Caenorhabditis elegans: one gene and its partner. The protein of the gene in region 1 purifies or fractionates together with the protein of each later gene. This does not show direct contact. Each region holds a gene or a part of one and is shown on either strand. Other genes may lie near its edges.

Evidence for each region. The genes of interacting proteins can lie anywhere in the genome.
Region 2: the proteins of ncr-1 (region 1) and F01D5.6 fractionate together in Caenorhabditis elegans (co-fractionation; one large-scale study listed by BioGRID). This does not show direct contact.

Annotation. Positions count from the first base shown.
Region 1 is NC_003284.9:4,483,508-4,492,020, forward strand, and holds the start of ncr-1 (NPC intracellular cholesterol transporter 1 homolog 1), read right to left. Parts: upstream 5,351-8,513; 5' UTR 5,253-5,350; intron 3,658-5,252; exon of another isoform or gene 3,608-3,657; intron 778-3,607; exon of another isoform or gene 676-777; intron 1-675. Other genes in the region: F46H6.5 (uncharacterized protein), read right to left, coding at 8,231-8,281, 8,333-8,438. UniProt on the Caenorhabditis elegans protein: Involved in the uptake or utilization of cholesterol. Ncr-1 and ncr-2 act redundantly to prevent dauer larva formation under favorable growth conditions, and are required for the normal functioning of ADF, ASI and ASG neurons.
Region 2 is NC_003280.10:14,003,037-14,010,482, reverse strand, and holds F01D5.6 (TPM domain-containing protein), read right to left. Parts: upstream 3,974-7,446; 5' UTR 3,973-3,973; coding exon 3,697-3,972; intron 3,366-3,696; coding exon 3,264-3,365; intron 3,203-3,263; coding exon 2,952-3,202; intron 2,754-2,951; exon of another isoform or gene 2,648-2,753; intron 2,646-2,647; coding exon 2,504-2,645; intron 2,450-2,503; coding exon 2,362-2,449; intron 2,312-2,361; coding exon 2,212-2,311; intron 2,142-2,211; coding exon 2,012-2,141; 3' UTR 1,895-2,011; downstream 1-1,894. Other genes in the region: F01D5.7 (Serine aminopeptidase S33 domain-containing protein), read right to left, coding at 39-233, 556-725, 775-871, 919-1,040, 1,113-1,457, 1,800-1,817.

The DNA of each region.
Region 1 (8,513 bases):
AAGTGTAACTAACAAAGGAAGTGTTTTAGATTTTTTTTCTGGAATATTCCAAAAAAACCTATCATTTGAAAAATAACCGTTGCAATAGGTGACGGCAAAAGTAGCTGTGGAAGAGAATTTCGTACTAGGAGCAAACCTATCCAAGATCATTTCATTGCATTTTTCATTTCTTTCGAGGTTTGTATAAAATTATTCCAAAGATGTTTTTTGCGAATAAAAAAATGTTTTCAAGAGTATATAGGGGTAGAATTAGTTTCGATGCTTTTTGGTAAGTTATGTATTCATTTATTAAATTTTGTAAAGATCAGAAGATTTTTCACCCAACTCAATACAACATTTTCCAGATTTTGCTTTCTGAATAAACTAATTTTCTAAAAAAGCTTCCAGAATGTCTAAAAACATTAAAAGTCAGCAAAAACAGCTTGCTAGAAAAAAGTTAGGATAAAGATAATTGTTGTGGGAAAAAATTTAACCACCATGAATTTGAAAAAATGAAAAAAAAATTGAAAAAATGAAATGCAATAGATTATGAAACTTTGAGTTTTGTTGTTTTTTAACGAACTATGTCATGCATTTTTTGAAAATGATAATCGAAAAACAAAAAAAAATAGAATTGATGAAAATACGGCGCTTAAGGCAGTTCACGGGTTGTAAAATTTCTTAGGTGTGTAGGCAAAAACGTTCAATCACTGTCAAAAGAACCCGAAACGACGAGACGGTCAATTCTTCTTATGATTTAGCCAAGATAAACACTGTCGTGCCGCCGTACTTGTGACCTGGTGTGAAAACGACGGCTTTCCTCCGATCGGCAACGGTTTGGTCCAGTGAGAGTGAGAAACGGGATTAAATGGTCAGTTGTTAGCAGGATGTTGTTTGATTGAGTGAGAGTAACAAGTTGAAAGGGGAAAAAGTTGCCGAATCTGTGTAGCTCCTAAGAGATAGACGGGAGCACTGTTAATCAGTTGAGCAAATAGAGCAATGCCGACTGACTGCGGGGGGAAAGAGCGAGGTGAGAAGCCGGAACGAGGGGGGATGGAGTCAAGGATTCGAAATTTAACAGAACTTTCAAGCTGTCTATGGAACTAGTTCACACAGATTTTGTTTGCTAAACTTCACGTTAATAGATATAAACAACTTTAAATTAAAACATTGTTGAATTTAATAGGTAAGAAAAAAATATCATAGATTTTAATTATGGCATTTTCAGTTTTAACGTAATACGATTTAGTCCAGTGTGCAGTTAATACATTGTTAACTACTTAAATTTGAGAGAATTTTTTTTTATTGAAAAACTCATATTTTCACCTTGAATTTTCAGTTTTTCAAAAAACTTTAATCAAAAAACCCAAAATGGAGAAAACGATGTGTTACATTTGCTACCGAATTGCTACTTCAAACAACTTCGAGTCCTGCCAAATGTTGCATCTTACAATTAGAGATCAACATTATCTTGACATTTCGTTTAACAAGTTCTTAGCAAACATTAGTTTTTTTGCGGAAACCACGAGGTGTTCAAAATTTGTGAACGAGACTCTATGATAGTTTTTCGAAATTTTTGGTAGGTATATTTTTTTCTCATTTTTTTTGAATATGGTTTTATCAAAGTTGAAAAAAGATGCAATCGTTTGACAAAAAACTAGAAACTAGAGCGTAGTCTGGTGTAGCATACCACACAGCTAAACTTGGGCTGAAATTGATAGTTGATACCGAGAAAAGGTTGGAACTTAATTTTTATTTGATTATCATCCTTTAAAGCATATTTTGGCATTTTATTACGTGTTGTTCCGTTTATTGAGACGCTTTTTGGGCCAATGGGGACGGAAAATTGTGTCATATTTGCGTTAACTTTTTGTTGAAAAATTTTCGGAACGTCTCATTACCAAATTCGGTAGTTTTGGACCATTTTGGGTCAAAAAAAGCAAAGTCTCAAATTTCGGTACCCCACCTTTAAGACAGTGGTTTCACCGGATCGATGGAAAAATTATTGATATGTAAATTTAACGGTGTTATTGGGTAGATTATTTAAAAAAAAACAAAATTTTTTAAAATTATTTTAGAGATTGCTATATTTACTTCTCTATGAAACAGCACACCGTAAATTCATCGTCTGTATTTCAGAATTGCTTCCCTATTTAAGGTGGGGTATGGCCAGTGGGAGAATGATTGAACTTTATTTTTCTTCTGCTATAACGACAAAATATTTGAAAAAAAACGTTTCAACTTATTTTGAAAATGTTAATATTTTGATGCAAGATGTGATGAAAACCGAAATTACACCACTTTTCGAGAAATTTTAAGCTTTTGAAATGATAAAATAAGATAATTTGTGGCATAATTAAAACATAACCTGGAATTTAAAAAAATGTTTTGTGGTCGACGATTTTTAAAATAAACCGAAAACCTAGTTTTCTCTGCTTTTTTAATCCAAAAAAAAATCTGAAATTTTTGAACTTTTTTGTTTTGATATATATTTATGTGAGGATCCTAGAAATAGTTTTAAATACATTCCTACTAATCGTACTCCTCTTCAAAAAAACATAAATGTTTTAAAACCTTGTACAATACCACAAAAAATATACAGTAATTATAAACGTTTAAATCATGAAGCAATTATGTTCATTTCGCAATTTTAAAATACTTATGACTCATTTTATTGCTATATGATCGCTCTACATATAATTTTTATGCAGTAAACATTTTCATATTATCGTCTGACGTCAAAATAACAAATCTATTTTTATGAGAGCATATCCAAAAAGAAACGTAAACAAAACACTTTTTAAAACACCTGCTTGACCCCGAAATTATCTAAAAAAAAAAAAGGCGTCAGAAATATAAATCTTGTGTCAAATTCTCTAATGCGAACGACCGAGAAGAAGAGATGAAGAGTAAAAGGAAAGGAAGAAGTGTCACGGATCAACAAAATGACCATTTGGATGACCTTTTGAGTGGTTCCCGCAGGATGAATACTTGGATTCACGGTTATACGTTATGGAGATTGGAAATCATAAAATCAGGTTTTTGTGTTGTGCAAAATGTGGATATTCAAGTTGGTTTGCCGCGAAAAATATTAAATCCGATTTTGTAAACTACATCCAAACTTTAAAGGTCGATGGAATCATTGACCACTTTTGCTTTTTTTATTCTTTAAAATTAACATTTTGGTGGGTAACTTATTTTGAAAAAAAAAACTTCCGTTTTTGGTGGGAAACAGAAGTTTTAATCAGATTCCTTATTTGACGGAAACTGAAGAAAAAATGAAAGGAAAAGACACCGGACGATTACGGAGCATATGTGAAAAACAGGATTAAGAGAGTGAAATGAAGATTTTATGCAAAAAAAAATGTTTTGATAATTAATCACTTTTACCAGATTTTTTTTTCAGATATTCAAAAATCAAGTGTTGCCTTTACGAATAATGTTCGGTCAAAAATCGATCTGTTTTCCGTCAATAATTCGAGTTAAAACCAACAAGCAAACAAAATTATGTTTGCTTTGAAAATGGAAAACAACCAGTGACAGACTTATGTGTGTGTGTTGAAAAATCCAATCGATCTTTCAATTGAAATAACACTGACCTCCTGAAATACAGTTCGACAGCCGTTGCTGTTAAATATTAGCATAGAAGAGTTAGTGAATCACACTGTTCACACATCTCAAAGAGAATCGGTTTTTTCCCGCAAAAAAAAGTGTATCAGACCTTTGGTGACGCTATGATATTTTTATTTCTCATTTTTGGAAACGTATGTGTTGTGTTAAAATTTGGTAAAATGAGAAAAAAGGTGGAGAAGAGAAAAGAGAAAGAGAAAAAATATGACAGAACTACATACATACAACAAAAGACACAAGTGATTATGGAAAACGGCGAAAATACTAGAACGGTATTGATTTTGTTTTCAAAATTTTGAATTTCATGGTTTAATGTTTGGTTGGTTTTGAAACAGTTTATTCTAATTTTCATATCTGTCTAGCAACTGGGAAACTTCTATAATTGCCAAAAATGATACTTTTTCAGAAATTTTTGATAATTTTTAAGACAATTCAAAAAAAAATCAAATTGCTTTAATTCCGTCATTGATTTTCTAAAGTTAAACCTAAAGTTGAAGGTTAAATACATATTAAAAATGAAGCAGAGTCCTTTTGATATTTTGTATCAAATTATAGAAAATGAACCGCAATGAATGAAACTGTTTAAGAAGATATTGGAGTATGGAGGTATCAACAAAGAATTGAAATAAAATTTCTGAATAAATTCAAAATTTACAACAAAACTACTGTAAAACTTTTGAGAAAACGTGCATTTTTTTCCATCAGAAAATTCAATTCGAAATATAGAAAAACTATAGCCAAAAAATTCCAAAAAAATATGTTGTTCTTTATAACTTAAAATCTGTGGTAGCAATTATAATGTTAATTTTAAAACAAACTACAATTTTGCAACAAAACTATTAAACTAGAAAACAAAAATACTATTCAAAAGTTATTTTTTCTGTCATAGAATTTTATTTTAAAAATTGAAAAATAAGAAATTTCGCCTAACATTATGTTTGTTTTTATTATAACTATAAGGTAGCTACTATCAAAAATTTGCTAAAAAAAGACTACTGAAAAAAAAGAGATAAACTTAACTTTTCCGTAAAAAATGTTAATTTTGAAATTCAGTGAAGAAATGCTATTTTTCATTGTAATTCAAAATCTGCGGTACCTACTAAAACTCAAATGTTAATTAAAAGCGAATCAAAAATTTCCAATGTTCTTATTTTCAAAATCTTAATTTTTTCACGGATAGGTAGCTTTTACAAATACTAAAAGCTTAGAATTCCATTTAGAACACATCTTCAAAGTGAAATTGCAAAAACAGAAATGACCATCTGGCTTTCAGGAATGAAAATCCATGTAGTCGTCACTTAAACTTTCACGGATACAGCCTTGAGAAAACGAATTGGAACGCCAGCAACGACTCATTTTTTTTGGTGGTCAGTTGAAAGGAAATGGTGGAAGTGCAAATTTAATGAGATGATTCTATTCAGGACGATGTCCAAAATGCTAGGGTACTAAGGGTATATAGAGAAAAGTGGGGAGGGAAAAAACGAGAAATCTTAATTGACTAACAAGTCGATTCTGAGATGTTGCGGAGAATTTGGCTTCTTTTAAAATTGATTGAGTCATCGTTTTACTACAAAAAACATGCCATAGTGATTTAATTATTCAGATTTTTTAATTTTTGAAAGTTGTTATGGAAACTGACAAACCTGTCCATAAGTGCAGTCCTTTTTGTTTTTAAGAGAGCATCCATCCTTTCAGTAGCTCTAATGACCACGCAGCTCCGTTCATAGCAATTATGATGTCTACAAAAAAGATAACATCTTTAATTAATTATTTGCAATTATTAAAACAAAAAAATCATGAAACGCAAACGAGGAAACCAAACAATAGTAAGATTGAGGATTTCGATGAGAAGCTAAACCGAAAAAAAACTATGAGAAATACTGCGAAAAAAGCGGATAAAAAAGAGAAAACGAGGCGGAACGTGGACTTGGGACCCGAAGAAAGAGAGAAGACGGCGACAGCAGTAGAGAGAGGACAACAACTCGATTGAATTGCGTCTTGCATTCTGAATACGTGACGCCGACGAAAAAGTTGATGTTTTTTCCAGAAACAAAACGCTCGAGATATCATGAGTGAGAGAGATTATGCTTTTGGTATACGAATTGAATACATTTTTAATCCTTTATCTCATGCAAAAGAGCGGGTGATAAATTTAAAGTAGCAAAACTTGGTTTATTGTTCAAAGGACAAGTAGCAACATTGGGGAAGTTGTTAAAAACTATTCCTATTGATCCAAAATCACCAAATATCTTCGTAAAACTTTTCAAAAATGTTTTTTGATATTGTTACTGAAAACAAAATTAAAACATACATTTCGAAGTTTTTTTAGATCGACGACTTCCAAAAAAGTAGCGAAAACTGAGATTTTTCTAATTTTCAAAAAATCATATTAAAAATTCAGAAAAGTATATTTTTGAGTTTTTTGTTTTGATCTTCAAAAAGACAGAATACTTTAAAAATCCCACATTTAATGATGAGATCCTAAGAAAATTTCTCAACACCTTTTTTTAGCGGACAACTTTAAAATGAGCACTTATTTTCGACCGCAACGAGACGGAAATTATGAGATTTTAGATAACTAGCGCTCCCCTGAAATTTTCAATATGTGCCATTAAATAACCCCGGTTTTTGCAATTTTTTAAGGCACTTTGAACAATAAATATAGTTTCAGCTATTTCACTTTTTCAATGTATCAACAAAAACAATTACTCCCGAATATTTTCTACCGAACAATATTACCTCGGAATAACAAAATTGCTGCGGAGTTTCGTACAAACTCTAAAATTTAGAATACGTCCATTACTAGGAAAAATTTCCCGAACTAAGTTCAAATCGAAACTCCGAATATTATCTTGATCCGACATTTACCGTTTTAAGATTTTCGGTCGGTGCGGCTGGATCCCGGAAAATGTCGGTCCATGACATCACTCGGAGTTCTCATTTTCAGTAAATCTTGGATTTTGTGTATACACCGAACGCTTTTTTTATATATTGAGATAAAAATTGCAAATGAAAAGAAAAATTAAATAAAAATCCAAGATGGAAATCGTGGGCTCATTGAAGGAATCATCTAGCAGTATGTTTCAATTAGAAACAGCTGAAAAATTAACTCTGAATCAATTTTGATGTTTTTCGGAAATATTCAAGAAAAATATGTTGTTCTTTTGAAACTCTGAATTACGAGATCACTGACCAAACTGGTCTGAAATGTGAAAAATAGAATCGGTCTCTTCCATCTTTGATGAGCTTGTTTTTGTTTTGATTTTCTACTAGAATTTTTCATGAAACTTGGTCTTCTCAATTCTTCACAAAAACTTGCAACCCATACACGTCCCGATGACAAGCTGACAGAAAAACGGAAAAAATGGTGATTGCTCTTGAAATACGAGCAGTGTTAGTCACGCGTGCCAAACTAGACTCTCTCACACTCTTTTCCTCTCCAATTTTTTCTATTTCTACTGCTCTCCAAAACGTATCTTTTAATTTCGACATGCTCTAGCTCCAGAAAACAAAGTCAGAGATAGAGTAAACCAACGACCTGATTGCGAAATTGAAGCCTTATAGCGTCTAGAGGTTCACATAGATGATTGGAAGCTAGGGCAACGCCAAAAAGTGGAAAGAGTTGGAACTAAGAATTGCAAGATGTAAATAAGACAAATTGGACCAATTTTCTTTTGCTCTTTTTTCTCTCTATATTTTTCATATCCAATTTTTGAGCTACTCATACATGATAACAAGTATCTGAAAATACGTTTTAATAAAACATCAAAGTTCAGCGTAATGAATCAGTCTAATTTTGAGTAAAGGATATAAACGTGAGCTGTTATATAGATGTTAAAAAGTCTTCCAGCTTGGTGCTTGGTCCACTGGTGTTTTGCGTTTGGTATGTCGCGGGTGAGCAGATGTAAAACACCTCTACTTCAAATACAGAAGTGTTACGTGCCTGTACTCTTGGTTTTTTAAATTACAGACCAGTTACAGGCGATTTACTAGTACCCACTTGCGGCAGAACAAACGCGAATCTCCTTTGTCGTAGAAAATTACTCTGTGATCTTTTTTAGGTGAGAAACACTAATTGAGTTCATAAAAATTGGCCTGCTTTTATGTTTTCCATCAAACTGGTCTGTTATTCACAAAATTCAAAATTCTGACATTGGTCTGAAGTTGAATGATCTAAATCGTGTGACTAGTTGATTAGTTGTTAAGAAAAATTTTGTTGTTAGAATTGAGCTTTTGGTCATGATCGTTTGCGCAAGAAAATACTAAAGCAATTATTTCAAAACGAAACACGATATTTAAAAAATTGTTTTGTAATTTATATCTGGTATCAGCTGAAGGAGCCAACATTCCACAGCCTGAAATAGGGTAGTTTGCACAACGCACATCCGGAAAATTATAAATAGAATTGTATTTAAAATTCAAATATCTTACAAAAATGCGAGTTATGTGTAAATGTAAGCTGTATAATTTTTTCTTCGAACTTCAAAACCAAATCTGATCACAACAATCAAAACTCTACTAACCAATTTATTAAAATCTTATTTCAAAACCGTCGCTGATGATCGTTCAGGTACCACAAATAGATTGTACAGAAAAAATTTGTGAATGAAACAATTATTAACTATTTTGATGTCGCCTTCTTCTTCCGTTTATTTTTCAACACTCGAATAACCTAAAAATAAATTTTAAAGAAGTTTAAAAAATTCACAAAATAACGGAGTACCTTTTTACTTTTCTTCGGTTTGTGTGTCATGTTGTTTTGCTGTGAAGAGGTGGAATTTTGACAGTTATTGTTGTTGTCGATCGGTGTTAAGTTGTATCGGTTGTAACTGAAATTGAATATCTCTACTTGAAAACAATTATCGATTCAATTGCCATTTTTTGGATAATCTTTTTAAAAAATT
Region 2 (7,446 bases), on another chromosome or scaffold:
CTGTAGTTTAAAGGAACATTGTGGAAATCAAGTGTTACCTTGCAATTCTAGTAAAGACTTCAATATACTCTCCGCTAATGATTGAATGATGATTGGCGCCATGGACGATCAGTGGTGGCACTGGGTTTTTGAGATTTTCATAGAGAGCCATTCCATGAGTCATTGGGATGCGTTGATCATGGTCTCCATGGCAGATGAGCACTCGGGTGTTGATGTGGCAGATTTTGTCAATGCTGAAAGTATGGGTACATAGAAAATCAAGATGATTTGCAAGCAGCCGACACCTAACGGTCTAACAGAGTAGTAGCAGCTGATGGCTAACTGTTTTTATTTTGGGAGCGCTAGCAGCCGACACCTAACGGTTTTGAACGCATGAAAGATAGCAGCAGACGCTTTGCAAGCTTTAGTAAACCAGCGACCGACACCTCACGACTTAAAACTAGAGATAACTAGCAGAAGATTCCTGACGGTTTTAACTTGGCAGTATTTGCAGTTGACATCTAAATAACGGCTTTATCCGTTCTAGTACTAGCAGCGGACACATAACAGGTCTACCTGAGAAAAGAGTCTCCCCACCAAGTCGTTTCCTTGTCAGGATTGTTGCAGAACATCCTCAGTGCACTGGTCAACGGAGCAATCAGCACAACTCCAACTAGTCTATCCGGATTTGAAGCTGCCAAGTCTACCGCTGCAGTCGTTCCGATACTGTATCCAATTACTACAATCTGAAATTATCTTTCTCTAATAATCTCGGACATTCCTGATCCTAGCTACCTTCTTATCCGGTCTGGTCTTCAAAATATGTTCATATACCGCTCTCACATCGGCGTACATGTTCTTCTCGCTCTGGGTGCCCGAGGAAAAGCCGTATCTAGAAAACGAACAATGATTATTCATAGAGCGCGATTGCACTCTTACCCTGAATAGTCGAAGGCGTATACATCCGTTTCGAACAAGTTAGCAAACGTGGAAAAGTTCATGGAGTTGGGCTGAAGGAAGCTTCCAAGATCGGCAGAGCTGGATTGGCAGAAGAGTACGACCTGGAAGCAACCGACGATTTATGGTAATTTTTAAAATTGTGGCCGACATTATCTCTGCAGGTTATGACTAACCTGATTCGCGACCTCTGGATTCTTGGAATAGCAATTCGGGGAGCACTTAACACACACAAGATGACTGTCTTCAGATGTTGTAACCGAGAACACTTTCACCTCAGGATGCACACGATCCCTAACCACCAGCTGAACAGGCTCGTCATGACAATCACGAACACTTTCCAGATCCTTCTCCGGATCAGATTTCAGCTCGATCCGATAGGTGGCTCCTTTGTCTGGCGGGTGGAATGCCAATTTCCGGATGATTTCCGATGGGATGGGTGGGCATGCGACGTAGCATAGAAGGCCAATGGAGCGGACGATCTCATGGAGCTGGTCACAGATTCCGGGGGAAGGTTCGTCCTGGAAATTATTGATTTTTAAAACCAGACATCTGATGGGTTCCAAAGAAGATGCTATAAGTTTTGGCAAAGCCCCGATTAGTTTGGCAGCCGACACCTCGCGAGTTTAAAATTTAAACTGAAATCATCTTGAGACCGCCTAAAACTTGCAACCGACTCGAGCAGCCGACACTTTATGGGACATTATGGACCCGAATTATTTTTAGCAAAGAAAAAAAACAATTTTAATGTGAAAAAAGATTTGTATTATGAAATTGAGAATTTCCCAAAAATAGCAGCCGACAACTCGTGGGACTAAGCATGACTCAAGCAGCCAACAAATACCGACTGAAAATTAACTTACCTCTTCGAGACGTAGCATGACGAGATGGGAAACGAAATTAAACGATGATTGAAAAAAGTGTTGTTTTTGTTTTGTGAGCAAGTGTAAATAACAACAAAAACGTGGAATGACGTGGATTTTTTATTGATTTTTTTTCATCGAAAAATTGAAAATGGAATTAAGAGGATATGTGTGACCCGTCGTGGAAAATTGTTAGAGAAAATATACAAAATTTAGAAATGTCTTCGTTTTCTGGTGCCCGCGGCGCTAACCGGGCAGGTTTGTGATGCTCCGGAAAGGATCGAGTTGCGGTACTTCTGGAAGAGTGGGCGGATGAAGTCGTTGGTGGCTCCGTCCCAGGCTCTGAAAATAATTCGTATTTTTGCTAGGCTGTTCAGCGGCCGACACCTAACGGGTCTGGAAAAAAACTCACTTTTGTCGGTTTCCAAGTACTTCCTTGTTCTTCTCGGTCTCCTCCTCGATCTTGTTGTAACGTGAGTCGGAAATCAGCTTCAAGGAGATACTCATGGCTTCTAAATATAAAATTTTAATATAAAATTTTATTAAAAAAGCTTGAACGAACCTTCAACAACTGCTCTGACATGTTTTGGAAGATCTGCATCGTTCTGTCCACATCGGGCCATGGCCTGCTGAAGGATTGATACCCAGACCTAAATATATTCAAAAAATTAGGCTAAAAATAGAAATCTTCTGTCAAAATTTACCTTATCATCTTCATCAATGCTCTCATGAATCGTGTTGAAAGCTGGGAATGGGCGTTTTGCCTGTTGCACACTGTTCGGGAGACCAGCGGCCCGGAATGGTTGGGATTCAACAGCAGAGACCGCAGGTGGGTTTGGCATGAATCTGGAAGTTTGATCGTAAGTTTTGAAAAAGAGGACCAGGAAAGTGTTGGCTGCAGCTTCGACTAATTCCCGTGAGCTGTCGGCTGCAGCAATTATCTGAGCACCCCATAATCTATCAGCTGTGTTTTTAGTAGCCTGCCGAATGTCGGCTGCACCTTTGTTACAAGGTCTACTAAAAGCCAGTTTCAGACTATTTTCAAGCCCGTGAGATGTCCGCGGCTTTCTCAGTTTTTCATGTGTCGACTGGTTCCTAAAGATAGCAACCGACACCTGGCGGGCCGCTAATCAAAAAAACCCCAAAACTCACTCAGTCGGTCTAAACTCAGTTGGAGTCGGGACCTGCACAATATGAGCATTCGAGTAAGCTGCCACAATGACCTCAATCATTCCTTCCAGCCCAAGTGCATATCTTCCTGTCTTGAAATGCCCAATATTCCGTTCAAATGCAGATTTCAACGTGTCCTTCGAGATCTTGGCATCTCTACCAGCAACTGTGAACACTTGACGATCTTGTCTAGAATTCACGATGAGCACTGTAGTGTCGCACATTCCAACGTCCTGAAATTTGAAATTATATACAGGAACATTTAAGAATTAAAAGCAGTTTCAGAAGACATACCTGGAAGTTTTGGTATCTTCTTTTCAAGTTATTGGCGAATTTTTCAATGTCAACTGGAACACCTGGTACACTTCCGATTTTGTCGATTATCGCGACAATTATCTGAAAAATAAGTGATTTAGCTTGGCAAGCTTCTGCCAAAGGTTGGAATCTTTCTGACGCAAGTTCGAAAAAAAAATTTGGCCAGGCTTTGGACTGTTTCATTTTTCGTTTTTTAAATCTTTTTCTGCTCTGCCCGGCCTAAGCCTAAGCCTAAGCCTAGGCCTAAGGCTAAGCCTGAACCTAAGCCGGAGCCTAAACCTAAGTCTACGGTTAAGCCTAAGCCTAAGCCTAAGCCTAGGTCTAGGCTTAAACCGGATTAAAAATTTTCGGAAACTGTTGACTTTCTGGCGCATTTCTACCAACTTCAACATTGTCCAACTCAGTAACTCACCTCCAAATTCCTATCAGGCATCAATGCACATGACGGAGAAGTATTCTTAATTCCAGAAGTCAACGAATGCAATTGATTAACCCTCTGCACCAATCGACTTCTCTCCTCATCGGAAACGATAGCCGACGGATCACAGACTTGCGATGGAAGTGCCAACCGACATGAAAATGGATCTAATCGAGGATCTGGGTAGGTTTGCGATGTGAATTGTGCGACTATGGAGGAGATGAAGAAGAATGGGAAGAGAATTAGGATAGGGTCCAGTTTGGGATGCATTCTGTAATGAAATTTGAAATTTTAGAGGTATGATTCCACAAAAACGGCAAAAAAAAACAAAAATTTTGAAGAGCGGCTTAGGATTTTTTATAACAGTTTCTTTAGAAAACTGAGAAAACTGGAAATTGTTAAAAGAATATTTGACCGAAAACAGGTAAATAAAAATTAAAACTTCAAACTACAAACTACAAACTACAATGACCACAAACTATGTATATTTTTGAACAATTTCTATTGAACATTTCTAACAAGTATTTAAGTATACGAATACAAAACTTTAAACAAAAAAAAGCTGCATACTTTCAAACTACCTGCTAAAACTACGGACTACAAACTACAAGCTACAAACTACAAACTACAAACTACCTATTGCCAAAAATAATTTTTTTCCAATATTTTGGAAATTTTCGAAAAGTTAGACTTCGACAGTTTTGAAAATCTTAAAATGCTTGAAATTGTTGATTTTGAAATTCAATACAATTAAAAATAATTTATACGGAGAAAATATCAAAAAATAGGCGGTAGGCAGGCACTTAGGCATGTCAGCCTTACGGAAATAGTGAATGAATAAAAAGTGTGTGACTCTCGCCGAGATTCACCAAAAGCCACAAGTCACACAAGAATGCTATTCAAGTGGTTTTTGTGAGTTTCAGACGTCTCTATATATATACAATTATATACAGTTACAGTTTACACATGCATACATTACCAAGTAAACTACGAGAAAATTCTAGAAGCTTTCATTTTGAATGGGGGGGGGGGAGGGGAGAATAAACAAAGTGTCTATGTTTCTGAGGACTGTAAACCACTTATGCAAATGCTTAAGAAACAAACTCGCTTGGTTTTGTAACGTTTTGTAAAGTTTTGGAGGAAATTCAAGGGAAATGTAGTTGTAGTAGGTACACTGTAATAAATTAAGGCTGAAAACTGACAGCTGTAGTAGTTTTTTTTTTGGAATTTTCCAAAGATTTTGATTTCAGCTTATAGAAAATTTTATGCTGATCATTTTTGCCTCTTGCCACTTTTTTGTATCTTTTACAGTTAAAAAGTTACACACAGTTTAGCGAGAGCAAAGCTAGAGAGTGTGAAGGGAGGGGAGACGCCGACGACGAGGCGCCCTGCGTCTCTCTCCTCTCCACACTCTCTAGCCCATTGGACTAAAAAGGCTTGTATCTCAGGAACAGTAAGGTCTAGAAAGAAGTTTTCAAATGAAAAAATGCTGGAAATTGTTCGGGGATTTTTAATTTTTTTTTAAGCAAGGAAAAAGAAGCCAATTCTACACAATAATCATTGATCTACTAAAAGTTATGAATGTTGCATAATCTCCAGCCGATAATCTCCCTATAAAGTCGCAAAAAAAGTTGCCAAAAATCTTGAGAGACCTGTTGAAAAGTGTTCAAAAGTGGGCAATGAAGAAGAAGTCAAAGCAACAATCGTCTGCCTGTCGGATAATAAGCTTCACCGGACGGGGGTATCTTCTTCTTCGTCTCCCCTCTTCCCCCTCCTCAGAGGAACCGGCTGATGCCCCCTCTCAACACGCCGAACCAGATCCGAAGACCGTCTGCGTCTCCGGTGGCTTTATCGTTCGCCTCGTTGTTGCCTCCTGGGTGTGTGTGTGTGAACCTATCTCTTCTTCACCCGACGTTCGATTTTCAACAAATGATCACTTCCACCCCCAGATATATATTATAAGCATTTTTATTTATGACTCTCGCTTTCTCGAGGAGAAATTGGAAATTAAATAATTAGATATCCTTCATTGATTTTACAGTTGCAAATGGGTTTCCACTCAGACGTCCGCCACTCCAAATATAAAATTTTGGGACCCGTGAGATGTCCGCCACAATCCCTCCGAATTATCGTCCTTCGACGACCGCCAGATGTCGGCTACTAACTCTCTGATTCAACATTCACCGACTGTTGTGTGAACAGTTAGATGTCGGCTGCTTCTGCTATTAAGGGCCCGTGGAGTGTCGGCTGCTTCTTACTATGAGTAAACTTCGGCCCCGTAAAGTGTCGGCTGTCTAGCTCGACAAGTCATTTTGAGTCCCGCGAAGTGTCTGCTGCTTTTGCCTACTGATCATTTAGGGATCTTGGAGAGTCGGCTGCTTCATTCTAACTAGACATGTAGTAATTAAAAATTCTTCTGCCAACAAAAATGATGACGAATATTGTTATCACCGTCGGGAAGTGATGACAAAGAACCTTCCAGGGTGTTATCAGTATGTGGATATTGGCATGTCTGATCGGATACGAGGGAAAAGACGCAAAAACTTGATAAACAAGAGATAATGTAGGCTAGAGATAGGATGGCATAAAGCTTGCAGAAAGTGTGTGTGTGTGTGACTAGAAAAACTAATTTTTGGGGTCTTGTGGAATTTTTTTTTGGAGCGGGGTTGTGGGAAGAAAAAGCGACCTACAATTTACGAGTGGGTGCAGCGAAGGTTTCCCTAGTAGTAAAAAAAAGCAGCCGACACCTCACTGTACTTTGCCGACCTCGCGCAATGTCGGCTGCTTTCAAAAAACTTTATACTCCATAATTCTGCTCAAAGACCAATCAGCTCAATTTCAAGATTTATTTTTAGACCAAAATTTGTATAAGTTTAGAATTTTTTTTGTTTGCTAATCCTACTGTCTTGGAGGTGATAATGACACCTCTAGGCAAACCACACCCAATCAGTGATAAGCAATTTTTTGGAGGAAGAGGATGAGAACAAGAAATAATTTTGAACAAGTGAGTGAGAACTTAAATGTTTGTTTGAACAATCTGTAAACAGTACGGAGTATGAATGGCAGTAGTAATTCGAAATAAAACATTTCAATTAACAATTTTCATCTTTTTCTATCTCTACAGCCATTAGAGGTATCAAAAAACTGTTAACAAAACAACACAAAACTGACAAAATGTAGCAAATTACATTTCAAACAATTCGTTAGTTAACAATTTTCAGATATCACAAATATTCGCTGAGATATTCTTGATTTCCAATAGCCACTCACCACCCAATTGGCATCTGATAAGATATTTGAAATTTATTTGGCATGTTGTGGCAGATCAAACTAAATATGAAAAAAACCGGAAATTATATCTCACATTTCTATGGGTGCACGTTTGTACATATCTCAAAGGAAAATCTAAAAATTTGGTATTTAATAGTGATACCGCATGACATAAAAAATTAAATTAAAAATAAAAATAAAACTATAAACATGCACATTTCAACTTCAAAAACTAGTGTTTTTTCTACTAAAAAAAATCTCATGGAAACTAGAAAAATTGGTGATCTCCAGCCATGTAGCTACCGATCGAATGTAAAAATCGGGCTTAACCTGAGGGGGGTCATGTCAAACCGGCCGTCCCGCGCCGCGATTAGCAGAATTTCGGCAGAATTTGAACAGACAGAAAAGGACACAGAAGTATGTTTGTAATTACGGTTTGCGGATGTATAATGTCGGGGATCGATGGGGGAGAGA